Linked DNA regions of Cricetulus griseus. The protein of the gene in region 2 purifies or fractionates together with the protein of the main gene of each other region. This does not show direct contact. Links are inferred from orthologs where the notes say so. Each region holds a gene or a part of one and is shown on either strand. Other genes may lie near its edges.

The links. Proteins that work in one complex are often made in the same cells at the same time.
Region 1: the proteins of Supt3h (region 2) and Sgf29 purify together in Homo sapiens (affinity purification with mass spectrometry; 6 studies listed by BioGRID and IntAct, counting the BioPlex papers as one, with this or other methods). This does not show direct contact. The link is inferred for Cricetulus griseus from reciprocal best matches to the Homo sapiens genes SUPT3H and SGF29.
Region 3: the proteins of Supt3h (region 2) and Kat2b purify together in Homo sapiens (affinity purification with mass spectrometry; 7 studies listed by BioGRID and IntAct, with this or other methods). This does not show direct contact. The link is inferred for Cricetulus griseus from reciprocal best matches to the Homo sapiens genes SUPT3H and KAT2B.
Region 4: the proteins of Supt3h (region 2) and Tada3 purify together in Homo sapiens (affinity purification with mass spectrometry; 6 studies listed by BioGRID and IntAct, counting the BioPlex papers as one, with this or other methods). This does not show direct contact. The link is inferred for Cricetulus griseus from reciprocal best matches to the Homo sapiens genes SUPT3H and TADA3.

Annotation. Positions count from the first base shown.
Region 1 is NC_048596.1:74,075,679-74,083,624, forward strand, and holds the end of Sgf29 (SAGA-associated factor 29), read right to left. Parts: intron 3,819-7,946; coding exon 3,754-3,818; intron 2,958-3,753; coding exon 2,828-2,957; intron 2,761-2,827; coding exon 2,614-2,760; intron 2,426-2,613; coding exon 2,390-2,425; intron 2,307-2,389; coding exon 2,144-2,306; intron 1,880-2,143; coding exon 1,763-1,879; 3' UTR 1,670-1,762; downstream 1-1,669. Other genes in the region: sulfotransferase 1A1, read left to right, coding at 86-212, 307-401, 860-1,040, 1,164-1,276. UniProt on the Homo sapiens protein: Chromatin reader component of some histone acetyltransferase (HAT) SAGA-type complexes like the TFTC-HAT, ATAC or STAGA complexes.
Region 2 is NW_023276807.1:31,439,322-31,447,762, forward strand, and holds the end of Supt3h (transcription initiation protein SPT3 homolog), read left to right. Parts: intron 1-5,195; coding exon 5,196-5,327; 3' UTR 5,328-5,357; downstream 5,358-8,441.
Region 3 is NW_023276806.1:249,658,384-249,666,329, forward strand, and holds part of Kat2b (histone acetyltransferase KAT2B), read right to left. Parts: intron 4,941-7,946; coding exon 4,848-4,940; intron 2,829-4,847; coding exon 2,647-2,828; intron 1-2,646. UniProt on the Homo sapiens protein: Functions as a histone acetyltransferase (HAT) to promote transcriptional activation. Has significant histone acetyltransferase activity with core histones (H3 and H4), and also with nucleosome core particles.
Region 4 is NC_048601.1:31,423,119-31,431,064, reverse strand, and holds part of Tada3 (transcriptional adapter 3), read right to left. Parts: 5' UTR 7,838-7,946; exon of another isoform or gene 7,538-7,837; 5' UTR 7,480-7,537; exon of another isoform or gene 6,444-7,479; 5' UTR 6,418-6,443; coding exon 6,211-6,417; exon of another isoform or gene 6,185-6,210; intron 5,241-6,184; coding exon 4,990-5,240; intron 4,862-4,989; coding exon 4,756-4,861; intron 2,663-4,755; coding exon 2,521-2,662; intron 2,433-2,520; coding exon 2,329-2,432; intron 1,491-2,328; exon of another isoform or gene 1,404-1,490; intron 1,021-1,403; coding exon 911-1,020; intron 360-910; coding exon 174-359; intron 1-173. UniProt on the Homo sapiens protein: Functions as a component of the PCAF complex. The PCAF complex is capable of efficiently acetylating histones in a nucleosomal context. The PCAF complex could be considered as the human version of the yeast SAGA complex.

The DNA.
Region 1 (7,946 bases), on a different chromosome or scaffold from region 2:
GTGCTAGAAGGTATGACACCTCACTGGGTCCTGTGGTGACAGGAAAACAGGAGGAACCAGAACTAGGGATTGTTTGCCCCTGCAGGTGATCTACGTTGCCCGAAATCCAAAGGATGTGGCTGTCTCCTATTATAACTTCTACAACATGGCCAAGGTGCACCCTGATCCAAATACCTGGGATATCTTCCTGGAGAACTTCATGGCTGGGAAAGGTGAATCTGAGTCTGTACCAAGGAGGGGGCTGGAGCTGAGGGGCACAAGCTGGTGCTAACAAGGACTGTGTCTGTACCCTGCCCTCTTCCCCAGTGTCCTATGGGTCGTGGTACCAGCACGTGAAGGAGTGGTGGGAACTGACACAAACTCACCCTGTTCTCTATCTCTTCTATGAAGACATGAAGGAGGTGAGACTGCCTGCTACCACTTCCTTCTGTGTCTCACAGGCAGGAACCTCACTCACCTGGCCGAGCCCCATCCCTATCCCAGCCCCACCCCAGACCAGTACCTCCCATTACCTCCTGGCTCAGGACCTCAGCAGAGGACATTGCACAGCTCTTATCTTGGTGCAGTGTCAGTCATGTGCCATTATTGATCTGGTGGCTTGCTGCTCTTGCTTCTCCCTGCTCCAGAGGTACCAAGTATGGGTACCAGAGATCAAAGTCTGTCCCTGTCCTCTGCCAAAATGAACCCACTGGGATCATGCCAAGATGGCAGGGTAGGAAACTACCTATTTTGCATCAGGGTAAGAGACTCAAGAGTCAGGGCATCAGGTCTGAAAATTTCTTGGTAGAAGTGGCCCGCTCCCTGTGGGTGATCCCCCAACCTTATCCCAAGGAGTACCAAAATTATCTCTATGCTCCAGAATCCCAAAAGGGAGATCAAGAAGGTCCTAGAGTTTTTGGGACGCTCTCTGCCTGAGGAGACTGTGGATATCATTGTTGAGCATACATCCTTCAAGAAGATGAAGGAGAACCCCATGGCTAACTACACAACCATCCCCACTACAGTCATGGACCATGATATTTCTCCCTTCATGAGGAAAGGTAGGTAGTAGCTTGGATGGGTATTTGGAGGATTTGGGGAAGGGAGGTTGGATGCAACCAACAAAACCTGAAGTCACATGGGTCCTGTAGCTGGGACTCTACACAGTCTCTCTCCCTCTTCAGGTATCACTGGGGACTGGAAAAACACCTTCACTGTAGCTCAGAATGAGCAATTTGATGCCCACTACACCAAAATGATGGCAGGCTGCAACCTCAAGTTCCGTTGCAATCTGTAAGTGGATATGGCTATATTGGGAATGAAGGTAAGCTGACATAACCCATTATGACCTCAAGAATAAAATATGATGTATCCAGTTGTATGACCTCAAGAATAGAATATGATGCACCCATATTGTATGCCTACAGGAAATCTGAGCTCAGAGAATGAACAGGACTTGGGTAGTATCTGAATGAAGAGGGTTTTACCAACACGTGTCAGGAAAGCAATTGATCCGTGCACTGAAAAGGAACCCAAGCATGCAACAACAGAAGACATAAACTGTATTTTACCTGAAAGAATAAATGTCACTGGGAGCTGACTGGGCCTTCTCCCTCCTGCGGCCACCAATCCCATGTGCCTGATGGAGGAGGGCAGGGAGGTCTGAAGTAGTGAGGCCCAGGAGACATGGTGAGAGGGAAGAGTATTTATTTTATTACAGGAACTCGTTTGTTGCCTTCTCCCATGAGGTCGGCAGTGGCAGACTCAAGCCAGCCAGCCAGCTTCACTTTTTCTTGGGCTCCTTACAAGCCACCACGTACCTCTGGGCCACATTGAGAGGAGGGGAGTAGCCGTCTGCATAGGAAGTGTCTTCAAACAGGACTGAGTAGTCATCCTGAGGCTGTAGAGCACACACAGGAAGGGCTGGTCAAGATGCTTCTAGGCCAGGGCAGCCCCTCCTTGCCCAGAGCCCCAGATGCATCTCCCTGCCTGCCTCTCCTACTTTCTTCTCTGCTCTCAAGTCAAGGGGTCTGGTGCTACTGGGAAAGCCTATGTTTAGGAGATGAAGGACAACAAGAAGGCAGCAAGCAGGCAAGCTGAAGAATGATGGGGACCAACCCTTAAGGTTCTGGTGTCATCAAAGGCCTTTCATGTGGCTCCTTACCCGCTGTGGGGGTGTGTGGATCAGGGCACGGTAGAAGCAGGTGGTCTGGGGATATAGGGCCAGCACCAGCTGCTCCTTCTGAAACAAGGCCTCAGGGTCTGTCTCAGGGTTAGCTTTCCACTGGGGCAGTGGGATGATGCGCCGCCGACTCAGGGTGTGTCTCCTGGGGGAACAATACAGGCCGTGACCAGGAGGCTTCTCCCAGAAGCTTGGTGACTCTCCACTGCTCCCCACCGGGACACTCACTCTTTGCCTTCTTCATCAATGTCATCTACCTCATACCTGTGGGCAAACAAAAGGGAAACAGTTCTGGGACAAAGAGCGGTTTGCATCCAAGAGTAAGGCTGAGAGAGGGTGAAAAGGGGATGGAGAAGCTCGAGAGAGCACCACCCAGCACCCTTTGGGGGGAGTTTTCCTCCCATGCTGCAGAAGCTGGAGTGGTGAGAATGCAAGGTCAGGCACACACTCACTTGTTGGTAGCATGGCTGTAACTGACTACTTCAGCTAGGATCCACTGCTCATCCCCATCCACAGCCTTCACTCTAGCAGCCACCTTGTCTCCAGGTTTGGCCACATAGTCCCCTGAGGCTGGAATGGCTCCACAGAGGGGTGGGGGCCTGTGAGAGAAAGCCCGTTAGTCTGGCTCCCTGTCACCAGCCCTCTCTGGCTAGTTCCTGCCCTCACTTGTCACCAGGCTTCCCGATCCAGAGGGGCAGGGTCATGGCTGACTGCTGCAGCAGTGTCATCAGCACGCCTCTGCGCATGGTCTTCCGTGGGGGCTCCGAGTCATTGTAGAGACCTGCGATCTTGGCCGCTGTGGGAAGCAAGTGAACCCCTGAGGCCAAGTGGATGGTGTCTGACCCAGTCACACCCCAGCAACTGCTCTGAGTTGGAGCACTTTATACCAGGATCCCAAAACCATCCACACCCCTTCTTAAGGTCAGGAACTGACAGCCTAACTCAAGTGGGTGAGATGTCAGGACAGTGGCCACCATCGTGGAGTGGAACTAAAAAGGAGGGTTTCCAGGATATAGGTTATATTATGTCTCCTGACCAGGATGCTGGATATATAAATGTGCTGGGTCAATGAAAATTCCTGGAATGTATCTTCTTTCTACTAGTGTATGTAATTTCAACAAAAGTTGCACAAATTATCTAGTGTGGATCCTTGGTCTCATCAGCCATGGCTCATCACACTCTTCAACTAAAAACAAAAATGGTACCATGATGGTGATATGGGGTAAAGAGTTGCATCTGGGACAAGACAGAAGTCAGGAAGCCAAGGCAATGGCACCTGAGGAACCTACAAGGTAGGGGGCTAAGCCAGCTTACATGTGGCCACCAAAGCATGCCACAGAGGGAGCAGCGGTAGGAAGGAGAGAGATGACCAGCCCTGGCTAGAGTGAGCAGGGCAGTGTGAGTGGTGGGACAAAATTTCCTGGGTCTAGGCAAGAACTAAGCAAACTCTCTGCCTCTGAGTCTGTTTCAGACAGCTCTGTTGGGTGACCCCACCAACCTATGTCCCATATTCCCCTGCCAAGGCTATGACTGCTTCCCCCCAGCCCCCACCTGGCCTGGTCAAGAAATACCCTGCATTTTCTCCCACTCACCTATCCGCCTCTCTTCCAGCAGAGACTTGATCTCAGCTATCTTATCCAATGCTTTTCGGAGGATGCTAGGCAAAGAAGGGAGAAAAGAGTGCTGGGTGAGGCACTCAGCGTATGCTTCTTGGCGATCTGGACTCCCCAGACCAAGTCTATGCTGAAAACTACAGATCCTGTTGCGTGTGGTGGCTGACACCTGTCATCCTACCGTGTAGGAGGCTGTAGTAGTCCTGGAGTGAGTTTGATGCCATCTTAGCTACACAAAGAGCTCCGGGTTTGCCTGGGCTAGAGTGAGACCTTGCTTCAAACAAAGAAGGAGAGGCTATAGAGATGGCCCAGTGAATTAAGTGCCTGTTGTGCAAGCCTGAGCATCTGAGTTAGATTCCCAAAACCCATCTGAGAGCCAGACATGGTGGTGTGTGCCTGCAATCCCAGCACTGCATTACTGTGGAGACAGCTGGGTCTTTGGAGTTCACTGGCCAAACAGCCTAGCCAAATCAATCAGTTCCAGGTTCAGTGAGAAACTCCGTCTCAAAAACTAAGGTGGACAATAATCAAGGAAGACATCCAGTATCAACCACTGCCTTATACATGCATTCTCACCCATGGGCATGCACACTCACATGCCTGAGGACCTACACAAATATAGGTACATACTTCATAAACATATATATACCACATGTATACACAAGATAGTAATAAAAACAATGAAAAAAATAAATGAAACTATAGCCCCTAAATAGAAATAGGCACTACCCCTGATATCTCAGTTAACAGGTCTTTCTATGCCACAATCCTATGACAGTGGCCCCACAGGATTTTACTGCCTCATGGCACCACTGCCAGCTTAATGTCACAGTGAAACATATCATATTCTCTGCACTGACAGTCACATATATGCAGGGCATATACAATCATATACACTCAATCACACTTGATTATAGTAATGACCATGCCACTGATTTAGAAGTTTACTAAGGCTGGACAGATGGCTCAGCAGTTAAGAGAACTGGCTACTCTTCTTAGGGTCCTGAGTTCAGTTCCCAGCACCCACATGGTGGCTTACAACCACCTAGAATGGGATCTGATGCCCTCTCCTGGCATGCAGGCATATAAACAGATAGAGCACACATATACATAAAATGCATAAATACATAAATAAATTAATTAATAAAATTTAGCTGGGTAGTGGTGGTGCATGCCTTCAATAACAGCACTTGGAGGGCAGAGGCAGGTTTATCTCTGAGTTTGAGGCCAGATTGGTTTACAGAGCAAGTTCCAGGACAGTCAAGTCTACACAGAGAAACTCTGTCTCAAAACAAAACAACAACAACAAAAAAACCAAAACAACAAGCTGGGCAGTGGTGTCACACACCTTTAGTCCCAGCACTCGGGAGGCAGAGGCAGGCGGATCTCTGTGAGTTGGAGACCAGCCTGGTTTATAAGAGCTAGTTCCAGGATAGCCTTCAAAGCCATAGAGAAACCCTGTCTTGAAACACCCCCCCCCCAAAAAAAAAACAAGCCAAAAACCCCACAAAACTTACTAAATTATACTTTTGACAAAATACATTGTAGCTACATTATGAATTTCATGTTCAAGGAGTGTTTTTATTGTTTAAGAGGCTACAGTGAGTGTCAATGCATCTAAGTTTGTGTCATTGCTATGACATTCATAGTGGGATTCATTGATGACAGATCTCAGAATATTAACTAACCAATGATTTTTCAGTGCTCAGGATGGAACCAAGGGTCACCTGAAAGCTAGGCAACTGCTCTAAGTGACATCCTCAGCCCGGTTTTTCAGCTGTAAAAGCATAAATGGCAATATGGTAGCAAGTGGCAGGACAACCCCTTGAGAAAGTAGGTGCACTGAGAGGTCACTGGTACTGCTTTGCCCTGTCCTGTAGAAACCCTGCCAAAGCTCTGACCCCATCCTGAGATGACAGGAATGGAAGTTCAGATCTGAGTATGCCTGGCACGTCTCTAATAGATTCATGTGCTTGAGCAGGTGGTCCTTAGTTGGTGGAGCTTTTTGCAGAGTTGTGGATCTTTTAGGAGGTGGGGCCTTGCTAAAGGAAGGGCTGGTGAGAGGCAGGTCTTATGTGTTCTGACCTGAGCTCTCCACTTCCTCAGTACAATGCAATGTAAACAGCAGCCTTGTGCTGCTGCTGCTGCTGCTGCTGCTGCTATGCCTTCCCTTTCATAACAGACAACCTTCTCAAAGCATGGAGCCAAAATAAACCGCTCTTCCCTTAAGCTGCTTTCCTCTGGGAGTTTTTACTACAGTAAGAAGTAAATAACAGGGAAGCTCCGGGGCTGTTACAGGTAGCAAAGGGAGAAGCAGAACCCCAGGGGCCTAGAGAGACCAGGCAAGCTCAGAGTATCCCCTGTAAGACTTCCCCAGTCCTGTGAAGTCCTGCAGCCAGAACCTCCAAAAGTCAAATTTACAGAGGGGTTTCAGGCTGGCAGGCAGGCCAGCAGTGGATATCACTACACAGGTTCTGCAAGTCTCCCAGAAAAGCTTCAACCTTAATCAGCAGGAACAGTGCCACTGTGGGTCATTTTATTCTGTTTCCACAGCAAACCCTTAGCAAGGGAGTGCTAAGACTCAAGACAGTGAGGCACCCAGAAAGCAGACAAGGAATGACAGTCAGGAGGCCAAAGATAGTGTGGAAAGGCTGATATTGCTGTTGGGCCTATTTAGAGGACGTAGTTTTATGTCCTACATTCAAAGTTGCAGTTTACATGACATCAAAAGAAACAGCAACAACAAAAACCATCAAGAACTCAGCTGGAAAAATCACCAAGAACTCAGCCCCATGCGCTTCAGGAAAACAAAACAAAACAAAGTGATACTCAAACTAATTGGTGACATGAAATGGGACATTCAAACAGTCACAAAGCATCTCCCCACAAGACACTTGCTCATTATACGCAGAAAACAGAAACCTGGGAGATCCCACATCAAGTAATGACACATAGTATCTGGCCTTCTAATAGAAGGCTACTTCTGTGTTACCAAGGCCTGAAGTGTCAAACTGGAATCTAGAAGCCAGGAAGCACTAAATACACCCATGGGAGGGACATGCTACAGAATAACTAACCTATAATGGCTAAGAGAGATTGAAAACTGATCAGATCAAAGAAGACTGGACACCAATGGAGATCTGAACTAGAACAGGGAGGGCCTCTTTCATGACGAAATATGAATAAGCTCTCTGAACTGATATCCTAATTTACAAACACTATGGTGTTTATTACTTATCACCCAGATGAATTCAGTAAGACCCAGTGGGTTGGGTTTGTCTGACCTAGATGGAGTAGCTTCATCTCGCTTGCTTGCTTTCTCTCTCTTAACTGCTGGGTTGGGAAGGTCTGGTTGGTGTTTATAGGGTAACAAAAATTTGAATTAGCAAAAGGATTTCAATGCAGGCCTATGTTTACCAAACAGGCTTCTAAGTGTTGAATGCTGGGTAAGACATGCCAGAGGCATTCCATACAAGAGTCTTCACCCTGCCAGCAGTTAGGACAGAAAGGGCAGTTTACTGTTTACTTTCAAATGAAGATCTGGGGGCATAACTCAGTGGTACGGAGCTTGCCTACTATACACAAGGCACTGGGTCCCATCCTCTGTACTACAAAAGAAAAAAAGAAAAAAAAAAAAAAACCAAAAACAACATAAAACCCAGAAAACCAAACACATGCAGCACTGACTTATGCAAGCTACTCTAGCCCAGGTGAGTGGGAAGGGCTTAGGCATTCCTAAGAATTCATTTTGTTTCTTCCCCAGGAGTAGAGCCTATTCTTCTGTTCTGTGCCCCAGCCTCACATGGGGAGCCATGCCAGACCCCTTCATCCAACTAGAAACTCTGCCATCTTGAACCTCCCTTCTGCCAACTAGTTCCCTACATAGATCTCAAACACTGCTGTTCTTGAACTGGGTTTTGCTTTCTACTATGTTCCACTCATCTCCATCTCCACTGTGGGGTGATCTCCAACTGGCTTTGATCCTCTTCCAACTCTTTTTTATTGCAACTTTAAGGCTTCATTGGCTCCCAAGGCCTCTGGAGTGAGGGCTGTGGTAATCAGGGTCCTTGTGAGTACCATTTAGGCTACTCTTGTCCGTATCCCACAGCTTCCATCCTTAGGGACCCTCAACAAGCAGCCATTATTAAAAACAGCAGACCAAGATTTATTAG
Region 2 (8,441 bases):
ATATTTTTCTCATTTCTAGTAAGAAATTGTTAGTTTGGTATGACTTAAGAGCAGTCTGTACATCACTCTGGGTAAATAAATACTATGTCTCATTTCTGCTTTAATCTGTCTTCCTTTCCCCCACTTTTGGAGTTAGTGTATTCTTGCTTCTCTGCGTCCTGGAGGTGAACCACTGGGGTCCATGTGTGAGGTGTCTGTTGTTTTGGTGTGGCGTTTGTGGTAACTTTCCTGATCTATTACAATCCTCATGTTTGGTGTGTTGTCATCTTCATTTGTTTCAGAAATGTCCATTTCCCTTCCCGCTCATTCAGCATACTCACTGGTTAACATGCTATATACTTTCTTCTTGGTGATTCATAGTTCTGAGCTATTGTAATCTAAGCAGATAATATGATTTCAAGTTTTTGAAGTTTATTATGACTTCATTTCTGGCACAACAGATGATTTGTCCTGGAGGTTTCCAAGTGCTGATGAGAAGAATGTGGATTCTGCCTCAGTAAAATGTTCTGTAAATGTCTGTAAAGTCCATTTACTTTACAATTATGATTGAACTAAGATATTTGCTTGTTGAGGATCTGGAGAGACAGCTCAGTGACTAAGAGTACTTTCTGCTATGCTGAGGACCTGGGGTGAAGTTCTTAACACCCACATAACCATCTGTAACTCCAGTTCCAGGGTTGTGACACCTTCTTCTAGACTCAGAGGACAGAAGGCACATACATACACATAGGCAAAACTTTCATACACATAAAATAACAATGTTTTTAAGATTTTAAAACTCTCGTCATCGCCCATTGACAAAAGTGGAGAGGTGAAGTCCCCAAAAAGTATTGTATTAGAGTCTATCTCTTCCTTTGTGGCTAATATAAAGGAATGCCAGGATGGGTAAATGTAGATATATTGTTCCTTCTGGCTGAATTTATCCTTTCACTAATATATAAGGAGCCTCTTTGACTTTTGGCAGTTTTTTTATTTAAAGTCTGCTTTGTTCTAATGATATAGTGACTCTTGCTAACTTGTTTTGTATTTGTTGTCTATCCTTTTCCAATCCTAAATCTTTACTGGTGAAGTAAATTTCCTGTAAGCAGTGTATAGTTGATTATTGTATTTTTAACCCATTCTGCTATTCCCTGCATTTTTGTTGATGAATTTAACCCATTTATCTTTGTGGCTATTATTGACAGACATGAAATTTTTCCTTTTATTTTATTCAGTTATATTCTGGGTTTGGGGTGGTTTGTTGTAAATTATTCTTTTCTAACCTCCTTCTAGTTGTTTGTATTGTTTGGTGGATCTGTCACACTGAAGTTTGATTTTTCTTCTCTTCTGTGTTCTACTACTGAGTTTTTAATATTTGTGGGTTTTTTAGTTGTTGCTTTTGTTTTAAAGATCTGTTTATTTATTTTATGTTTATGTGTGTGTCTGAGTGTACACACGTGCACCATGAACATGCAATGCCCTCGGAGGCCAGAAGAAGGCATCTGATCCCCTGGAGCTAGAGTTACAGGTGTTTGTGAGCTGCCCCACGTGGGTTCTGGGAACTGAATGCAGATGCTCCAGAAGGGGAAAGTGCTCTTCATCAGTGAGCCGTCTCCCCGGCCTGAGATATTAGTGGTTTCACACTGGTAATTATCACACTTTTGTTTTTCATGAGTGACTTCCCTAAGTGTCTCTTGTAAGGCTGACCTAATGATGGTGATTTCCCTCAGTGCCTGCTTCTCTGAGGAACATTTTGTTTCCTCTTCATTTCTGAGGATTATTTGGTTGGGTATAATATTCTTAGTGGGCAGAGTTTTTATTTTTTCTCTCAATATTTTACATATGCCATCCTACCCTCTTGTGACCTATAACTGATCTGTTGAATGATCTGCTATAAGTGTAATGGGCTTTCCCTTTTCTATGACTTGATGCTTTCCTCCTGCTGAATTTCGGGATTCTCCTGGTCATGTACTTTTAGCATTAGATTACAGGTTTTAATTGAAAATCTATTTTCTTTAAATGCAATCAGGATCCTTTGAGTTTCTTTATATTTGGGTGACCATATCTCTTTGAAGAGTTGGGTCTTCTTCATCTATTATTTGTGATAGGTTTCATGTTTTTTCACTTTGTGAAATTCCCATAGTACAGATACTTGTTTACATAAATGTGCTCTAAGTTTTGTGTGCTTTCTTCATCTGATTTATTTTGTTTTGTTGAGATGAATAAGTCAATTCTAGAGTTCAGAAATTTTCTTTGTTCTGTTTATTCTTTTATGTAACTTCTCTGCTTTATAATTAATTTCATTAATTAAAGTTTTGGCTCCAAACTTTCAGGTAATTCTCCTTTATAATTTCTATGCTTTGGTGAATTTCTCATTAGTATCCTAAGTTATTTTTAAGATTTCTTCATATCATGCATCAGTATTCTCTTTTATCTAGTGAGTTTACTTAGGGTCATTAAATTTGGAATTTTTTTAGGGGCTAGTTGTATTTTCTTTAAATTGGAATCTATTGTGAAGAACAACTATTTCTTGAAGTATCATGCTTCCTATCATGTTATCAGCATTCCTACACTGATGTCTGTGCATCTGGCTTTACATTTGCCTCTAATTTTATGAAGCAATTCTTCTAGGGAGTTTTGAGATTTTGTTTTGTTTTACTTCTCATTTAAATGGGATGTCAGATGCCAGATAGATCAGTGCTATGAGTTTGGTTATAATGGAGCTCCAAACATCTATGTCATTTCTTTGTCTTTGATGCCATCCATAGTCTAAACTATAGCTGCTCATAAAACATTTTATGGATGTAGTTGTAAAACTTAGCAATAAACTTGCTTCCAAAGGTGTGTGTCTTCAGACTTTGCAAAATCAAACACTGCTAATACTAGGACTTGTGGTGGCTGTTGTCATACCTGGGAGGAATCATGGAAGACACAAATGTTTATGGTATCAATATTCAGAGTCTCCAAGTCACAGTATGTGAAGGACTCTCAGGATGAGTGTGGGAGATGTCACAGCTTGTGTCCTCTGAAGCCACAGGAAAGAATTGGACTTTCCCCAGGTCCCACAGGATGACCACAGATGATGCTGGCATTTATGGCACTAGTAACCAGGGGCTCAAGATTGTACAACACAAACAAGACCTACCCTAGGTCCTGCATGTATCTTGGGAATGGGACTAGTAACACTGTTAGACACCTTTACAGAGCCATGGACCATCTCCTGGCCCCAAAGGATGTTCATAACATCATCAGGGTTTTTGTCACCAGCTATGGTCCAAAGGCAGTGGACTGTGGAAGAAATCACCCCAAGGTCTCCCAAGACAGACCTATGCATGTAACATTTGGGCTTATGACAAATGTATCCACACATCTGGAGACATAAGACACGGAGGAGACCTTCACTAGACCCCATGGGCTGAGCACAGTAGTCTGAGATGTGTGGCTCTGGTATCCACCCTACTAGAGCATAAGACGAATAGGCTTGTCCTCAGTTTACAGAGACAAAGCTCAGCTGGGGACAAGGTTTGAAACATTGATAACCACAGCTCTGTATCTGCACGACATGGCTATGACCTGCCCGTGGTAGCCAGGAACAGGCTGCGGGCTGGGAGATCAACCTGCCCGACTTTCATCTGTATATACACAGAGGTGCTAGAGGTTGGGCTGCTAGCTGCTACATTCCTGGAGCTGTGCAATGAGCTAGAACCTTCCTGGATCCCAATGGAGTTTGTAGACAGGCCTGGAGTTTACAACAGTAGCCATAGTCCCAATGCTGTGGGTTAAAAAGACCTTTACAAGGTGCCATGAGGCAAGCAAGCATGGACTCAGACTTATGACTGTCACAGTCTATGGTCCTGAAGCTACAGGACACTGAAAGGACTGTCTTCCACCCAGTAAAAAATACAACAGCCCAGGTCCTCTTATGGTGTCAGGGGATTGGCTCCTGGCCCCTAAGGAACATTGGCATCTAGCCATATGCTTCTGTGGCACTTTGAGTTGGGGAGGGAGGGCGGGTTAGGGAGTTCCGTTTTTGGGGTCAGAGCAGGTCTTGGCGAGGCTGCTATTCCAGGAGTTGCTGCCTCTTCCCACTTCTCTGTTCTCACCCCTGTCCTGGAGGGGTTGAAGGTGCACTTTTACTTTCTTCTTTTCTCTAGCTCCTTGCTGATTTTCAGAGTTTCACTCTCTTCCTGACTCTTAGGTGGCACAGCTAGCTATGCACAAGGATGTCTGTTCTGCCATCTTGGCTGCCTGCCTCTGTGATAACTTCCTACAAGATGACTGCTGATAGTAAAGCTCTTGTGCTGAAAATGCAGGGACTCCAGGCTAGCCCCAGACTTGCTGGCCTCAGAGGGGCAAGAGGCCCTATTATGAGGTTTTTGTCATTTGCCCCTTTTTCTAAAAACACATTATCAAATAATTGAAGGCTTGAATGTGACTTGCCAGTTAAATGATATGTTACATGCCAGTGAGGGGCTCTTGTTCTCTGTCCTTACTCTTAGTTGTGCTCCTCTTCAGCACAAAGTAAGATTCAAGAAGTCATGAGAAGTCATCATTGGCCTGCTCTTCCCATTCCAAAATGCAAACTCCTCAGCAGGAGATAAAAGACAGTGTTACCTTCCTGACCTGGAATACATTATTGCAACCAGTGTCTGGTTTTGAAAGTGACCATTTATCCTACCATGAACATCTGTATGTCTGCCTCCATGTGCATCTACAGATAAGCTGTACTGCCAGTAATGTGCAGTGTGCCTTTAGATCGCCACACTGTGGAGAGGACGAAAGGCCTCCATTGGTGTCCGTTCCCACAGCCTTCCCCTCCAGACTATAAACCAGGCCTGGGAAGACAGTAGTGAGTCAGTAATTTATAGACTATTACAATGCTTAGTTAGAGCTGACTGTGGAGCATGTGGAATAGAGAACACATGTTTCCAAAAGACAAACAGACCCAGCACAGCCCTTCCTTGGCTGAACCAACAGCAATCCATTAACAGGACAAAATGGGATGCCTTATTTTGCATATCACCCACTGCCCCAAAATAGACTCCCTAACCACTTGTTAACCACACTGACTTAATAGACAGAATGGTCGCTAGAGTTGTGCCACCGGAACTATTCATATTAAGCATCCTATTAGCTGGCAGCCAGCAGTCTACAAAACAGGAAGAAAAGCCTCTGCTCCCTCTGCTTGTTGGACTTGATGTGATAATTCATTGCAGATTCCTTTGTCTTTGACAGAGTGCCTACCGAAGGAGTGGGATGGCTTTCCTGGCCTGCTGAGGGGACCATGGCTGTGCCTGCTACAAGAGAGAAAATGGTGCACCGAGGTCATTCTTCCCTGCCCTGGCTGAAAATAAAATATGAGTTTACCTTCTCCTGCCCTAGGGAGTGGCCTGGTTTGTTGACTCTCAACTCTCTGACTCCAGTGCTTCCCCAGCCTCCTTAGCTTTGTTTACTGAATGGGCCATTTGCCTAATTAATGGCAGGATGTTGGGGATGGTGTGTAGGTGGACAAGAATGCACATCACACAATTTTGAATTTTGAATCTGGCACAGATTTGCTGCCCTCGGCTCATAAATCTTAAAAGCAGGGTTGTGCTTTTTTTCCCCTCCAGTGTTTAGTCTGTCTTTTATATGATGTATTTTTGTGATTCAGATTTGGGGCAAAAGAGACAAAATGAGTCAGTCTTCCATTGACCCACCAATTGTACTTTCCAGCATTGTTGATAGTCTTTGTGTGTATTTTAGAGACATAGTCATTTTATAAACATAGACCCATGGAAAATTCACCTGGCAGGACAAGCCACCTGTTCCCCTCTTCTCCCGTCACCCCACTCACTTCACGGAACTTGTTTCATCCATCTTCACTTACCCTCTTTTCCATTGAACTCCCCCAAGCCACCACACACTCACACACACACACACACACACACACACACACACACACACACACACACACACACTCACACTCACACACTCTCTCTCTCTCTCTCTCTCTCTCACACACACACACACACACATACACACACACACACACACACACACAGAGAGAGAGAGAAGAGAGAGAGAGAGAGAGAGAGAAGAGAGAGAGAGAGAGAGAGAGAGAGAGAGCTTCCATGCCCTTTCAGAAGCAAAGTCAAAAGCAAGAGCAAAAGGATTCTTGGATTCACTGAATCCCTTGAGAGCTCTCCCTCTGGTCTGGAACCAGTTGATACACTGCCTGCTGGGAGCTGCTGAGCTGCCCTTCTGGCGTCTGTACTGTCTCTAGTAAATGAGGAAGTGTAACTCTTGGGAACAACCCAAAATGTAGCAGATGCAATGGTATAGTTCCTGATTAAATATGAATTGCAAAGGAAGAAGTTATGTCTTTAATTCTGTAAGAGTTTCGGGTCGAAGAGAGAAATAAGAAGAGCAGACGTTTTCTGTGTGAACAAACCCTTCTGAGTCTCAACATACTGTGTCTGTGTTCACCACTGTCATTTACCTGATGCATACTAATCATTCTTGGGGTAGGGGAAAAGTGTACATGGTAGGTAAAATGCAGATATTTAATATCAAAAATTGCCAAAGGGTTTTTGATGTTCTCCCCATGCCCATTGAAAAGTATGATTAAACTTTTCTTTTTATCATCACTCTTATTTTCCTTGGCATCCCTAATCATGGAAAATTATAACCCTGCAGTAAACATACTTACTTTGGAAATGGCAGCATTTACTGTATTTGGTTTCCATCTGCCAGACTTGTAGAAGATCTGAAATTTTCAGGGGCTAATTTTTCCTATTGAAAACCCATCTCTGCCCCACATTATATATTTGAAAGTAGCACAAGGCAGAAAATGCAAGGCTTTGTTTTCCTCCATCATCTTATTCTACCTAATCTCCTTATAGTCCCAGGGAAGGAAGACTCAATGTACATTTCTCTCAGAAACACGACAGCTCTGTGTTTTTGTTGGTCTGGTGTATGTTTGTCTATCTTGAACCGTCTGACAGGTAATTATTTATAAAATCTGGTTTTGCCCAGCAAGTTCACATAATACCTTTCACTTTTCATCATAAGCCAGAAAGCTGAATTTAGAATAAAACAAGGTTTGTGTCTGTCCTGAGCCAGCCTAGATGTGCTCACAATTGCTCAATATTAACATTTTAATTCTTTTTTTCTTTCCTACACTCGTGTTCTTTCCCTTACCCTTAAAAGAAGACTATATTTGAAGAAAAAAAAAATTTCTGAACAGTTATTTAGATAAAATTCAACAGAAGGAAACTCTCAGAGATGACACTTCAAAAAAGAGCCCCTAAGATTAAAGTGCCACATGTTATCACAGTTAGAGAAGATAACTATGAGGGTTGTTAGGAACTGTCACACACTTGATAGATGAAAAAGAACCTGGCCTAGTTGGGAAGTGACTATCCTGGATCACTAGGTAATAGCGGGAAGAGACCATGCATGATAACCTGCGGCCCCTAATTCTCAGCCCACCCCACACTTCACCCCGTATTTACATTAGAATAGTACAGAGATGCACCATATTTATCCCACACAATAAAGGAAAACATTTCTTAATGATACTATTTGTAGATACACCTACAACATAAATGTGAAGTCATAATAATGAAATCTTAATGGACACTTAAATGACACTTTCTATACTTGGGGCTCAACTCTAAATCATCTATGAATACAGAGCTTCTGTGTGAGTTTTTATTATTGGTGTTAATCCCTTGTATTTTAGAGAGCAAACTTGAAAATAAACCCACAAATAATAAGGAACTTTTCTTCTGGGAAGTTGATGCTGCTCCCTAAGGATAAAGGAAACAAAAATACCCCTCCTCCCACCTAAGTTTAGAAGTGTGACTTTTTGGAACTGCCCTTTAGAGGCCATGTCCTTGACCTTTTCTGCCTTCATACATGATAATAGTTGAGATTCAAAAATAATGTTCCAATTTTAGGGACCAGGGTTTTTAATTTAAAAACCATCAGAAGTGTAAATATTTTCAAACAGTCTATATTGTTCCTGTGTCACTGTCTGTTTTTTGTTTTTAAAAAATAATAACCCACATTAAATGTTATACCACATAGAAGATAAGTAAACATAACGGGTGATCTGTGGTCTGAAAGAAAATAAGTTTATTTGTCTAGAAATTATAAAGTTCAAACTTTGAATTTTTTCGATATAATTCCAAAATTGCTTTCAGGCTTCTATAACCCCTTGTGTGAAAAATCACTAGAGAGTATGTACTCTCATCTGCCCTCCTGGACCTCAGATAACGCCTTCCCAGGTTGCATTTTAAGTTCTCCCATCAGCCATGTATACATCTCATAAAATCTTTTATGGTTTCCTGCATGCTCTGGCTGAGCGTTTCATAGTACATAAACACTTCTACAAATAGTGTAAGGATGGCGAGTGGAGTGTGTCAAAGCAGTACCTCCCTCCATGGTCTGAGTCCCCAGCCATGTTCTGTTCCTTT
Region 3 (7,946 bases), on a different chromosome or scaffold from region 2:
AGGGGAGAGGGAGGAAGAACTTGGATTTATATGTAAAATTAAAAAACAAAAATTAGCCGGGCATTGGTGGTGCACACCTTTAATCCCAGCACTCAGGAGGCAGAGGCAGGTGGATCTCTGTGAGTTCGAAGCCAGCCTGGTCTACAACAGCTAGTTCCAGGACAGCCTCCAAAGCCACAGATAAACCCTGTCTCAAAAATAAATAAATAAATAAATAAAATAAAAATTAATTACTTAAAAAAAAAAGAGTTGCGGTGGTCAAATGTCTCTTCACAGCAATAGAACCATAACTAAGTCAGAAAGAGTAATGGGGAATGAGAGGAAGCCAGCTCAATAACTAATTATGAAAATGTAAACACATGAGCTAGCTGGTGACAAACCTGAGTAATCAGAAGTCCAACTCCATGCAACTCTGATTATCCTGACACTGTTTTGGAGTTGACATTAAAATACAAGAAAACAGGGCCGGAGTTACAACACAGTTGGCACATTGCTTGCCTTGTATGCGGGCCCAGAATTCAATCCTCAATACTGCATAAACCAGGCTTGACAGTACACTTCATAAAGTAAATTAATTGGGAATTTAATTCACTTCTTATCCTAACTTGTATTGGGTCTATTTTTTAGACCTCAAACTATTTTTTTTTAACCTCAAAACATTTTCTTAGATTAAACAATTCAAGCTTTTATGTCTCTCGGCCTTGTACAGTTTATACCTCTCCTGTGAGATTCTTTTTTGAATTTAGTAACAAAGAAAACTGTAACAACTATCTCATCTTCAACTCCATCAGAGACCCAAGAAGGATATAATACTACTTGAGTAAACAGGAAGTGCCAAGCAAGCATCTTTGAAAACTATAGAAATTACAGCAACAACTGGCTATCTGGACAATCACCCAAGGCTCCTCTACAATGTTGCGGCATCCATCTTCAGCCTACAGGCCTAGAATTCTGACAGACATTTCTGTGAAGCGGGAAATTTAAAGGACTGTACCACCTTGTCTTGGCAAAGTTCGGCAGTCTTATTCCTTTGTGTCTGCTTGTCCAGTTTGTACAGTTTTCTGTCAGCCGTCAAAGCAAGGGCAGTTTCTTGCATAAATGGCTAGCTTTGTCACAATGAAAGTAAACTCCATATGGACGTTCTTCAATACTTTTATGAAGCAGACTGGTACTGCCAGAAACAGATGTGTCATAAAAAGCCTTAGGTTATTAAAACATCTTAAATGTCATATTCTGTAGGTCTCTGAAGTGTTTGGAGACCACCTGTCTATCTACAATATTCAGTTTAACCATGAAACTACAAGTTTGATTGTCATAGATGATTAACTGTTAACCTGTCTTTCTTATTATCTGATGGGGGAGGTCCTTCTGTATGTTGTTAATAAATGTTTCTTTATTGGTTGATGAATAAAACACTGACTAGCCAGTAGCCAGGCAGGAAGAATAGGCAGGCTATCAGACAAGGAGAATTCTGGGGAGAGGACGCAAAGAGAAGCCTCCAGGGAGACACCATGAAGCTACCAGAAAGATAGGATGCTAGACATTTTCCAGTAAGCCAAGACCTCGTGGAAATACATAGATTAATAGAATAGGCTAATAATTAAGAGAGAACTAGCCAATAGGAAGCCTAAGCCATTGGCCAAACAGTTTATAATTAATATAAGCCTCTGTGTATTTATTTGGGACTAAACAGCTGCAGGACCAGGCAAAAGAGAAACGTCCATCTTCAGTTATCCATAATAACTTTCAAGGACTAGAACTTTACATTACATTTCTAAATGAGCTGCATAGGTATAATACCTTAAATAACATATATACAGTAACATATAAACAGAAGCATATATACAATATAACAAAATAACCTTAAATTTGTATCAATATACAAAAAATACTTTAAATAAGAGTAGAAGCTATATATATATATATATACATATATATATATATATACATATATATATATTAAGAAAAATAACACTATATTTGTATTGAATACTGAATGTGCCAAATGGTTTGTTTTCTAATGTATCCTTCATGTCTAGTTTGTTATGTGATTTTATATCCTTCTCATTAAAACTAACACAAAAAGGTTAAATATTTTTAAAAATACAAGGTATGTATTAGTTCTTATATTTTTCCTTCCTTTGAGGCAGGTTCTTATTAGATACCTCTGGTTGAACTGGAACTCACTAAAGTGGATCAGGCTGGTCTGGTCAGAGATCTACCTGCTTCTGCCTATCAAGTGTTGGGATTAAAGGTGTATGCCACCGGCACATAAATTAGATAGTAGCCACACTGAAAAAATATAAAGTACAAGTTCAATTAACCTTATTTAGTATAATATATCCAAAATACTATCAGGGCCAGAGAGATGGCTCAATGGGTAAGTGTATATGCCAGCCAACCTGAGGATTGTGTTACATTCCTCTGTGTCACACAGTGGAAGGAGAGAACAAATTCCTACAACTTGCTCTCTGATGTCCACACAAGTGGCATGGTAGAGAGAAAGTAAGTAAATAAATAAATAGCTGAGAACTTGAATTTTAAACTACATAGGGATGTTCTCTGAGTAGGTGGACAGCCCTACCATGCAGAGGCAAATAGTAGTTTCATGTTTGGAGCCAGAGTGCAGTACCTCAGCTCAATTACCTTGTGTAGTTCTCCTTGTATCCAGAGATGTCATCATGGGGAGACCGTAGTCTCCGCTGAGACGGAGCTTCCAGGTGCCAGTAGTTGATTCGGTTCAGAAACATCTTGGCCAGCTCAACTGTTGTCTGCCTCTCTTTTGATGGCAAGTGACTAAACTTGTACTGTACAAAGTTATTCACACCCTGAAAAGAATGGAAGGCAGCATGTTCATGTAGCTATATGACCACACTAACACTGAACATGCCCAGTTATCTCAGTAGTTATTAGCAAAGGAACAGACAATTCTCAGTCCACAAACATGTCTTCCCCTTCCTTCAAAATCAACAGTACTACCAGGGGAAATCCCCCCTCTGGTCACAGTGATAGAAAAAGTGACAAAACAGAATTATGATTCTGTTACCACTTGAATCCTAGAGCATCAGAGGGAAAAACACAGATGGGAAGGGTCAAAACCCCTTAAATGAGAAAATATACAGAATGAGGTTCTTGGATAAATGTTTCTATCTGTGAAATTTTTAAAACTTTGCTACCTGATCCTTCATTGAACTAAACACTAAAATTTACATCTTAATTAACACTGTTGTGGTTTTAGCAAGACTATCAGAGGAAGAAAAAACATTCAGAAATGTGCACTTTTCCAAGAGAATTGTAGATTAATCTAAATTTTCTATAGTATACTCCCATTTATCACATTAAAAAAATAACTCTTATTAGTTTAGACTCAACATGATGAAACTTATTCTCAGCTGGGTGGTGGTGGCACACACCTTGAATCCCAGCACTGGGGAGGCAAAGGCAGGCAGGTTTCTGAGTTTGAGGCCAGCCTGGCCTACATTGTGAGTTCCGTGATAGACAGGGCTACACAGAGAAACCCTGTCTCAAAAAGAAGGAGGAGGAGGAGGAGCAGGAGAAGAAGAAGAAGAAGGAGGAGGAGGAGGAGGAGGAGGAGGAGGTGGAGGAGGAGGAGGAAGGAAGGAAGGAAGGAAGGAAGGAAGGAAGGAAGGAAGGAAGGAAGGAAAAGAAAAAGCACATAAAAAAAGAGGAAGAGAAAAGCAAAACAAAAATTTGTTCTTTCGGAAAACTTACTTACAAAAAATCATTTATGGCCAGCATTGGTGGTGCACACCTTTAATTCCAGCACTTGGGAGGCAGAGGCAGGCAGATCTCTGTGAGTTCGAGGCCAACATGGTCCCCAGAGCAAGTGCCAGGATAGGCTCCAAAGCTACACAGAGAAACCCTGTCTCGAAACCCCCCCAAAAAAAAAAAATATTTATAAAGACTCTGGTATCATTTTGTGATGGTTAGCTCTGTCAACTTGATATAACCTGGTGTCACCTGGGGAAGAAGACCCAAAGAGTGACTGTTTACATTGGGTTGGCCTTTGGACATGTCTTCAGGGGTGGTCATAATCAAGTTTATTGATATGGGATGAACTACAGATGGCACCATTCCCTATGACTGAGGGACTGATGTTTATAAGAGTAGAGAAACCAAACTAAACACAAGCAAGCCCTCATGGTTTCTCTCTTCTCTTGACTGTGAATATGGCCTGATGAACTTTGTGGAGCTCCTGCCATGTGACTTCCCTGCTATGAATGATTACAACCTGGACTGTAAGCCTAATAAAACCCCTTTTTCTTCTGAAACTGCTTTTTTAAAAACCAAGTATCTTCTCCCAGCAAGAGAAACAAAGCTGGAATGAGAATTGACTGACCACCCCCCCCCATACAGTGTTTTCCATATCATTAATGAATGCCCTCTCCTCAAAAGGTTTCTCAGACAGTGCCAAATAAAAAAACAAAGACTTAATTTTAAAACATCAAGAGCAATAAAAGGCACATTTTATGAATTCTTACCAACTACATGTTCTATGCATTTGTCCCTACATACAGAGTGGAGTTTAAGTGCACAACACTCCTAAGACAAAAGCCAGACTATTGATACAAGTGGGCATGATTGTGGGAGTCAGAATATCCTAAGTGATTCTATAGTCTTTGTGTTAACCCTTGAAGCTGGCTGGGAATGGATGCAAGACCTATGTAGAAATGTGAAAGGAAGCTCGAAGTTCTTCAAGCTAGAATGTAGCTTAACAGTGTACGCTGACTATTTACAAGGTTCCAGGTGTGAGCCCCAGCACCCCAAAACTGGGAGGGGCCCTTCAGCCTCAAGTTCATATAAAAGAGATCCTCAAAAATGTTTACCTGTTCAATACTGGGCTTTTCAAATGGGGGCTTCTTCTCCAGTGAGCCTTCAACCACAGGTTTTCCTCTTTGTAAAATAGACTTTCTCAAGAGCTGCAAAGAAATCATTTTAAAAACAAACTTTAGTTTGAAAGGCTCTTTATAGTATGCTTGTGGGTATGTGGCTTATGGTTTTGGTTTTGTAGTCCAGGCTGATCTTAAACTCATGGCCCTTCTTTCTCAGCCTTAGCTTCCCAAATGATGGGATTACTGGTTTGTACCAACTTAACTGGCACTTGAAACACACAAACACATACACCCCACATCACATCTATTCCTTTCCTTCCAGTTCCCACCTCACATGTACCTAACCATTAAGCAAAGTCACCAACTATATAGTCTCATAAGAACTAACCTTTAAGTGAAACACATAAACTTCAAGAAACCACAAACTTGCCTTCATGCCTCCAAACAGAGCTAGACACCTTTCAATTCTGAGCAGCCTGGATTATTCTGCACTTATCCCCACACTCTACCCTCCATTTCCCCTTCATTTTTGCTTGCTAGGGACCCAGAGGCCTGTTTAGACTCATTGAGGCCACCAGAGGTAGATGAAGCTCTCAGTCTTGGCCACTATAAAAGTCAGGATCCGCTCTGCATAAATTAGGTTAGAGACAACTGTTCTTTGAAGGAGCTGTGCAGCCCATGTTTCTAGTACACATGGGCTGCACAGGGGCTTGGAGGGAGCTTTCTCTACTTCTGTCTTTTTCCATTTCTTCTTCATCTGTAGGTGTCAGGTGCATGTGCTCAGTGTCCACAAACCAAATACACTAATTTTAATTCTTGTCCAAGGATCAAAAGCCTCCAAAGAGCAAACAGACAGAGAAGGGACAGAGCCATTTACCAGAACTAAGGTAAAGATGAATTCAACGCCAAGAACTCTGGAGAAATCTACACTCAGCTGTGAACAACTGCCCCTTCTTCCCCCGCACCCCCCACCTGATGCTTATGTTTAAATCTATTTGAAACACTTTTTCTCTGGCTGAATGTGGTGACTTACACCTATAATCCCAGTGTGTGGAAGGTTGAGACCAGAGGACTGCCATGAATTCAAGGTCAAACACAGCTATAGAATAAAGCCACATCTCAAAGAAATAAAGTTTCTTTAAACTATTTATATATATATTTGTGTGCATGCATGTATGTGAATGACGCATGAATCACAGTGTGTATGTGGAAGTCAGAGGACAACTTGAGTCAATTCTGGCCTTCTACACTATGACTCCTGGGACTTGAACACAAATCACCGTGCTTGGATGAAAGCACCTTTGCTCACTGAGTCATCTTGCCAGCCCTTTTTCTCAATAAACTCCAACTCTGAAAAAGACAAGACACTGAAATTCTTCCTAACTGAAATCGTCTATAGCGTCCTTCATCTGTAGGCCATGTATCTATTTACCCTTTCCTTCTTTTCTCCACTTCTGCCTTTCCAGGAGAAGTGAAAGAGAGCAACTATTCTCTGTATTAACAAAACTGACAAATCCAAGAGATTGAACTTCTCCATCTGTTGGCATCGAGCTGGTGTTCTCAGTACCTACAACCAAATATACTACTTTTAATTCCTGTTCTAGAATCGAAAGCCTCCAAAGAGCAAACACAGTAAAGGGACAGAAAAGGAGTATGTCACCCTCTCAGGGTCCCATGTAAGTTTTGAGTGTGAACCACTTACTGATCCTTTCAATGTTTTGTGTCCAACTTCACAAAAATTAATTGTAATAAAAGTAACCATTGCATGTGTTCCCCATGATAAAGATTAATCCTGAGTCAGTTGGGATGGCCCTGCCTGGCATCCCAGCACCTCTGAGGACTAAAAGGGTTAGGTCATCCTCACCTACATAATTAGTTTGAAGTTACAAGAGACTCCATCTTAAAACAAAACTACAGTAATCATGGATTTTACAAACAAGCAATTTCAGAGTTAAATAGTTTTTTTTCTCAGTTGGCCACTTGGGAGCTTGAGCCACTGGAATATTCAGTTTTGAGATGAACTGGGAGACAATGAAATATGAAGTGATGGAGCTGAAAACTGGGCATAATGGCTCATGCTACCAACCCAGTATTCAGGAAGACTGCTACATTTCAAAGCTAGCCCATGACTCCTACTGAGTTCCAGGCTAGCCACAGTTACATAGAAAGATGTTGTTTCAAACAACAGCAAAAAGATCAGCCTGGACTACATAGAAAGACCTAATCAAAAGAAAAGAAAGGAAAAGAAAAAAAGAAGAAAAAGGAGTTGTTGGAAGAGAAGAGAGTGCAGTGGCTATCTTGGATTCTGATTTTAGAAGCAAGTACTGTTGTTGGATGAAGCAGAGGTGGGGGGAGCAAAGATCACAGTGCAATGCTTGCTGGCTTGCTATACTGGCTGCAAGCCACATAGCCTACAGGATGGAAAGCCTACCAGCTCCTTCATTGGCAGGGCAGGAAAAGCTGCCGAGGCACTTGCTCCAAGACAAATAGCAGCTGCAGCTATGAAGACCTTGTTCTCCCTCAACTAAGATCTTTCTCCAAAGCAGAAACAACTTGAATCTGCCAGGGTGCAATCAGATGACTCAAGCAAGTTGTCACCTGAGGGGCCCAACCTGATGACATAGTGTGATTCAATCCCCCACCCACCCCACCCCATCCAGAATATCCCAGAGCACCCTAAAGCTTTAAAAAAAAATGGATTTTCCTTCTCCCTCTGTCTTTTATTTACCCGCAACCCTCAGCTAATACAATAAAAGAGGAAGAAAGGAGGGAGGGAGAGAGGGAGGCAGGGAGGCAGGGAGGGAAGGAGGAAGGGAGGGAGGGAGAAAGGAAGGAAGGAAGGAAGGAAGGAAGGAAGGAAGGAAGGAAGGAAGGAAGGAAGGAAGGAAGGACCACAGAGCAAATGTTTAGAAGACAAGAACTACAAGAATCCTGTAGAGACTCCACTGAGATTCCCAGCAGCCACACAAAGAGGGAATTCCATGGTTAACTCAGCTCACTGTGTCACCCAAAACAAGCAAATGCTGGAACACAGCTCAATAGAGCACTTGTCTGATACATACAAGGCCCTGGTTTCAATCCCCAGTACCGCAA
Region 4 (7,946 bases), on a different chromosome or scaffold from region 2:
AAAACCAGTAACTTCATCAACTGCAGGGCAGCTGACACCACAGACACCTGCACTCATATTCACAGACCCATCCATATGTCAGTTGTGGGTGCTAGAGCCCTGTCCCTGGACTTAGCATCCATCAGAGATCCAACTGGGGGATAGGGCTAGTCCCTGGCACAGTGCTCACTCACCTCAGCAGGTCATGCTTCTTGGTGCGGTTGTGTGCACTGAGTGCCTTCAGCTCAGCCTGCCGTTTGCGCAGCTCAGCGAGGACCTCATCCTCTGAGTCCTCAGCAGGCCGGTCCTCGGACTCCAGGAGGCCCTGTGCAATCAGCTCCTCCTTGATGCGGCTCTCCAAGGACTTGGTGTGGGGCACACTGTAGGCAAGGCCAGCACCTGAGCTCTGAGCGCCAGCTGGAGGGCCCTCAGAGGATCCCAGTCTGGCAAGGTGAACCCATATAGCCACACATATATGTTTCAGGCCTTGTTATGTGTGAGTTGCAATCTTTTATGATATATATTTCCAAGATTTTTTAAAACTATATGTAACTCTTAAATATAGTTTAAGTACAAATAGGATTACTCCTTTCCCCCCATTTGGTACTCTGTTTTAATTCTTTCATGTCAAGTATATTTCTGTAATGATTAGCAGTTACAAGTTATTTCTTATGCAGTTTTAGCACTCAACTAGCCATTCCCTTCAGCTGGACACTTGGGTTATCTCCAGGAAAGGCAAAGGTATGATCAAGTCTGTACTAAGCCTGTCCAGAATCGAGGCCAGCACTTCCATGTGCTGTGCAAACATCTGTATAGCCAGATGTCTGTGCATGGTCAAATGGCCCCAGCCTCTGTTTACAAAGCATGCCCCCCTAAGAAGACAGAGAGAAGCTGACAGTCACGCCCAGAGTGCAGATGGTATGTCACTCACCTGAAGGGTTTGTTCTGATTTCGGGGAGAGGTGCTTGCGCCATCAGCCCCTGATTCTTTCCCAGACATGTCAGGAATAGGAGAGTCCTCCATAGGGGAAATAATATTTTCCTGAAGACCAGAGATAGGTTAGAAGGAGGAAGCAATAGAATCCCTGTTTTAATGCTCCTCTCTGACATACACAGTCTTTATAGGCTAGATAGAAATAGTCTGCCATCTTTTCATCCCACTCATGTTAAAAAGCTTCCTCCAATTCCAGCACTGAGGAGGCAGAGGCAGGCAGATCTCTGTGAGTTCGAAGCCAGTCTGGTCTACAGAGTAAGTTCCAGGACAGGCTCCTGTCTCAAAAAACAAAAACAAAAAAAGCTTCCTCCAAAGCTTTGATCATTATAGAAATTCTTTTATTGAGGGGAGGGGAATATGGACAGCAAAAGAAGGGGACACAAGAGAAACAGTGACAAGGAAATAACCTAGCACTGTTTTTTCCTCCACAGCAGCTGAGCTACACTACATTTCCCAGGCTCCACTGCAGTCAGATGGACTCATGGGACAAATTCTTCATTGGAAAGTGATCTAAAAAGGTAAGGCTCCCAGTCACACCCAGGGCACTTCCTTCACACACTCCTCCTTACTCAATTTCTGAGGGCCTGGTGCGGTAAGACCAAGGTCATGATGAAAAGTCACACTAAACTAGAGTCTGCTGGACTAAGCCAGACTTCCCCTTCCCATTACCTCAGTCTGGGTAATGGAATGCATGCCCCAGACCATTCCCTGAGAGAAAAACTATTGTGTTAGAGACAAAGGAGGAAACTGAAGCTCAAGGACATAAAAGGGCATTTCCAAGGCCAGACAGGGGCATAAAGAGGGAAACTTCAAGGGTGGGCTTAAATCCTACCTTTACTTATTAGCTGGTAGTCTTAAGAAAAGTTCCCTTTTCTAAACCTCAGTTTCCTCACCTGCAACATGGAGCTAACACAGCACACACCTCAGTGAAAGGATGCATGAAATCCTCCTTAACCAATGCTCCACAAAGGCCTACATCTGTTATCCCAGCACTTGGGAGGCTGAGGCAGGAAAATGACTGTACATTCTAGCCCATAGTTTGACTCTATCTCAAAAAGCAAAACATCAAAACACTAACAACCATGCGCGTGTGTGCGTGTGTGTGTGTGTGTGTGTGTGTGTGTGTGTGTGTGTGTGTGTGTGTGTGTGTGTGTGTGTGTGTGTGTGTGTGTGTGAGTGTGTGGTGTGTGAGTGCGTGTGTGTGTGGTGTGTGCATGTGTGTGTTGGTTTTCTGAGATGGATACACGTGGCACTTGAACTCACGAGCTTCCTGCCTTTGTCTCCCAAGTGTTGCAGGGATCACAAGCATACACCACCACACCTAGCTTGTAGTTCCCAGTCTAACTGAGTGCTCACCTCCACCAGGGCCTGCAGCAAGCGCTGTGTCAGGGCACCAAAGGGACAGCCATCTTCTGGCTGCTCGTGCTGGGCCTCAGACTTCTTCAGCAGGGCGTCCACATCTGCAGTGGATAGGGAGAAGACAGCAGGGGCCTGAAGCTCTGGGAACTCAGATCCCGGCCTGAGGGGGACAGGGAGCTGGGGACTCACCTTTTGTGTCCAGTTCAGTCAGCGGTCCCATGAGGCCTTTCTTCTTGTCAGCCACAGCTGCTGCCCGAGCCCCATCCTTCTGCTCCTCTAGCAGATCCTCCTGGGCCCAGCGCTGGGAGTAGTGTTTTCCCAGTGGGGGAATCTGCAGCAAAGAGGCCATTCAATTCTAAGAGGTAAACCCTGGCCACCTTTGCCTGGAGTGTGGGAGACTCTCCTGGTATGGGATACTGTAGTAAACTCTCTATTCATTCTGTTTCTTTCTCACCTATTTGTTGCCCAAGCCCCAAGCCCAAGGCCAAGGGTGGTGCCACAAAAGGCAAAGAAGATAAAATCTCTGCACTTACACTCTAGTAGGAGAAAAAGGTATATAAATAACGAAAGCAGCTAGGCATGGTGGCACACACCTGTTGTCTCAGCACTCAGGAGGCAGAAGTAGGATGGTCATGAGTCTGAGCCCAGGCTGAGACCCTATCTTGTCTCAAACAAACAAAACAAAAATCAAAATACACCTAGAAACAGATACGCAATAATGAAGACATAAAGTATAAGCCCAGTGTGGTGGCGCATGCCCTCCATCTCAGCACTCAGGAGGCAGAGGCAGGCAGATCTGAGTCCAAAGACCAGCTTGGTCTAGAGAGTGAGTTCCAGGACATCCAGAGCAGTTACACAGAAAAAACAAAACAAAACAAAAAACAAAAAAAAACCAACAACAAAAAGATATAAAGTATAAAATGCTGTGTCTATGGATCCTCTTTGTCACAGGTAGTTCTTCTAAAAAGAACTAGGGTCCAAGGGATTATTATTATTATTTTGTGTGTGTAATGCTTAAACTTACTACAGCTGAAATGGATTGCCTTTTCCCTGCTTCTTTCTTTCTTTGAGACAAGAAGTGAGATTACAGGTTGCTGTAGTTCTCTAGGTCATGACTGAATCTGGGGCCTTGTCCATGCTAAACATTTGCTCTACCACTGACCTCTATTGTTAACTGCATCTCTGGCCTCAGATAAATGTTTTGTTTGTTTGTTTGTTTTTTAAATTCAGGTAAGTGCATTAAAAGCAGCCAAGAGACCATGGGGTCACCAAGTGAGACCACTTCCTTTACTCTTCTTGGAGAAAGGGCCTCACACTTGTAAGCACAGGCTAGCCTCAAACCTGCCTCAGCCTCCCAAGTGCAATAGGTGTGAGCCACTAGGCCCAGCTTTCTCTTTCTGCTGAGGAGTCTGGAAAGGCATCTTTGGTGGCAGTAGCATGAGCTCAGGCCTTGAAGAGTGAGGCAGTCTGTCAAGCTGAGAAGAGCTTGGGCACAGACCCTGGTGAGACCAGTGGGAGGGAGACATGTCTGGTACAGCTGATGAATGCAGCAGGAAAGAGGGGTGTGGCCAAGGAAGACTGGAGAGGGGAACTGGGGTGTCACCAAGCACTGAGACACTTGGCCTCCATCCTGTGGCTAAAAGGTTTAGAGAAGGTCTAGACGCAGCACAGCCAAGGTGGGAGTTGCCATGTGGTAGAGTCTCCTCCTCACGCGGTTGGTCCACTTTCTTTTATGGAACATGTTTTATTTTCATGATACATAAAACTATCTTGCTGGGGATGTATCTCTGCTGGTAGAGAGCTTGGCTGGAATGTACAAAGCCCTGGGCTCTATCTCAGGATTGCAAAACTGGGATTACATACCTGTAATCCCAACATGAGGGAGTCAGAGGAAAGAAGATCAGAAGTTCAGGGTCATCATTACACAAAGTTCAAGGCTAGTCTGGGATATATAAAATCCAGTTTCAAAAAAACCAAAAACCTTTAAGACAGGTATAGTGATGTTATGTTTGTGGTCCCAGACACCTGGGGACCTGAGAGGGAGATGGTGAGTCCAAGGGTTTAAGGTCAGCCTGGACACCATAGCAAGTTCTAGTGTCTTAGAAATGAAACAGGAACTTAACTTTTATATATTAAGTACAGAAAGAAATCGGTTGCTGAAGTCTAAAAGCAAGGAGCATGTTCAGAGGCTCTTAGGATAAAGGCAAGCGGACAGGATGAACTTCACTGACAGACAGACGCACCACTTGGCTGAGGTGGGGGTAGCAAGGGAAAGCTGAACCTCAGTGTCTGCAGGGGTAATGCAGCAGGCAGGAGGCTGGGAAGGAAGGAAGTAGATGATGTGGACTTTGCTGCCTAGGATTCCGAGGCACCTCTGAGCCCTCCTGTTCTATAACTCAGGGTTCTATGGCTCAGGGTTTCTACCTTATAATGTTCGGCTTCATCTTCAGGAGGTTTCAGGAGCTCCTCTAGTGTTCGTACCTCCTCACTGGTGATATCCGCACAGTAGGGCTCCACAGAGGCCCAGAACCTGCAGGGAGAAGCAGACCCTGAGTGGGCACCTCTGGGCTCCTTCAGCCTTAGCCCTGGGTCTTCTAAGACCACACCACCAGTCCCTAAGCCCCCTCTAGCTCTGTTCTATGTGTTCAGGCTCAAAACCTGTTGGGAGCGTCATTCTTGGGGATCCGAGGCACGTCAATTGGGTCATCAGTGAATTCATATTCCTGGATCTTTGGCTGAACGTTTTTGGATTTGGGTCGTCCTGGGCCAGGGCCTGGTCCATGCCCTGCCTTCCCTTCCAGTTTCTGCTTCTTGGGCTTCCCATGTTTGGGGGGAGCACCAAGTTCATGGTCTCGACCCAGCTTCAGGAATCGTCGGTCACCTTTCTTATCCTGCCAGTCAGTAAGGATCTGAAACACACAAAGGCAGTCACTGAGAAGGAGAGAAGAGACAAGCTCCTCTTCCCCACTTGGATGACTTGAGATCTCCAATTGGAGGCTATTAAGTAAAGCACTTATCCAGTTCTTTCTCTGTGACTTTTCTCACATGCATCGAACCAGAGGTCTACATCTCATTCTCCTCTGTTACCCAAGCTAGCCACAGACTGTTTGGTAGAAAGGTTAAAAAAAAATAAAGCTGGCCGGGCGTTGGTGGCACATGCCTTTAATCCCAGCACTTGGGAGGCAGAGGCAGGCAGATCTCCGTGAGTTGGAGGCCAGCCTGGTCTCCAGAGTGAGTGCCAGGATAGGCTCCAAAGCTGCACAGAGAAACCCTGTCTCGAAAAACAAAACAAAATAAATAAATAAATAAATAAAGCTGGGCAGTGGTGGTGGTGCACACCTTTAATCCCATTACTCAGAAGGCAGAGACAGGTGGATCTCTCAAAGTTCAAGGCCATCCTGGTCTACAGAGAAATTCCAGGACAGGCTCCAAAGCTACACAGAGAAACCTTGTCTCAAAAAAAAACAAAACAAATTTTAAAAAGGTTATGCCCCAGAGCATAGCAGCAGTCCTGGGAAATATGCTGCTGGTGGTGGGTTTTTTGGTGATGGCCAACAAGACTCCCAGCTAACCTTCATTTCAATCATCAACCCTCCTGGGAGCCCTGTCTACACAAACAACTGACTGTGTCACAGTATATCTCAGAAAGCTCCCAGGGAATTCCAGGGACTACAAGGGGACAGAATCCATCTTCTGAAGTCTAGTAGGATGGCATCCCTGGCGTTGGGACCTAACTCTGCTGTCACAATTCCCATTTGGGTCTCTCTTCCCATCCATATCCTCAACATATAGTGTCAATGTTAGGTCATTAACCTAATGAGCCATCCCATAACTTGACACAATCTTTCTCTAGTGATGTCCCCTCTGTTGGAGAATCACCTGGGTTTCAGCTTCCAGTACACGCAGCCGCCTGCTTGCAGAGGACAGCAAGGTCTCAAGCTCCAGCTGCAGAGTGTCCAGCTCCTCAATACCAATGCCATCATCCTCGGAGCGGGCCAGTACTGCCGTGTACCGGGGACAGACCTTCAGGTGGTCCACAGACTTGAAATCATGGAATTGCAATGGGCAGTCCTTCAGTTCACTCATGGCTCAGGAGATGGGATTCTGTAAAACTAGAGAGAAGGCCATTGGATGGGAGACAAAGTAGCATGGAAGAGAGGTCCAACAAAGAAACCAGGATTCAATACCTTTATAGATACGGATGGTGGCAACGTTCCTGTTCATAGAGCCCTGATTGTACAGAGGGGGGCTTACTTCACTGAATTATACACACAACCTTGGGGGATGGGCTTTATTCATGCTTTCCTTTCTTCCTTTGATGAAAAAGGAAACAGACTCCTAAGTGCAATTCATTGTCTTTTTTGTTTTGGTAGCACTTAAGACTGAACCTGAGTCTCACACATGCTGTTATCTTCAGGTTTTTTTTTGTTTTTTTGTTTTTTTTTGAGACAAAGTCTCACTATGTGGTCTTGGCTGGCCTGGTACTCATTATACTTGCCTCTACATCCCAGAGTGCTGGGATAAAGGTGTATACCACCACACCTGACTTCCCATCCTCAAACTTGCTAAGTAACCGAATATTTGTTTTCACCTCCCACGTGATGGGATTCCAGGCATGTAACCACACCTGGCTTATTCAGTGCATGTAGGCACATAGTCTCCAAACAGCTACATTCAGCCCCCTTTCATCAATTTTTTATTGAGACAGGTTCTCACTCAGTTGTCCAGACAGGCCTTGCTTGCACTTATGATCCACCTGCTTCAGCCTCCCTAGTAACTAGGTTTACAAACCTGCATGATTAATTCGAACCCAAGAAGTCTCAAACCTGCACTACAAGAGAGATACCAGTGTGCCCTGTCTTCCTATGCCCTCTGTTGGGCTCTTTCAAGCATTCTATCTTACAGGGTTCACCCAGCCTCTCCTCATTCCACTTTTGTACCTCTCTGCGTCCCTAGCTAGTTTGGAACACGAGCTGGTCAAGCAGACAGAACTAAGTTCCAGCCCATTATGTGCCCCTCTAAACATGTTATTTAACCTGAATCTTAGTTTCTTTTCTTTTTTTTTTTCCAGGACAAGAGATGATGCCTCGGTCCGTTTCCCCATTAAAAAGTATCAATCTGTAAAATGGGGGCATCAAGAGTACCTACCTCCCTGGAATGTTCTGAGGATTAAGAGGTGATGCTTCTCAGGTGCCCAGTTCAGTGCCTGGCACAGAAGTGGGACTGCTTAATGGCTGGCTCCACCTGTGTGTCGCCCCAAGATCCCGCCTCCAGGGTCCTCGTCCTCTAGGGAGCCCCTAACACAGCTCCCGCCTCTCCTACCTCCTCTCTGCGGCCTCCTACAGGCCCCGGGCCGCAGGAGGGGGCGGGGAGTCCAGTGCTCTCAAGCAACCGCCCCGGAACTGGCTATGGGCGGGCCCGGCCCCCTGCAGTTGACGCGAGGGCGGGGACACAGCCAGCCCACGGTGGCCTCCGGGGGGTGGGGGGTCTAAGGCCACCTACGAACCTCCGACAGGTGGAATGCTAGGCCTGAGGTGTCCCCTAGGAAGCAGCCCGGGGCGAGGGCGGGGCTCAGAGCCCAGATCTCCAGGGACCCACTTGCTCGGCCAAGCCCC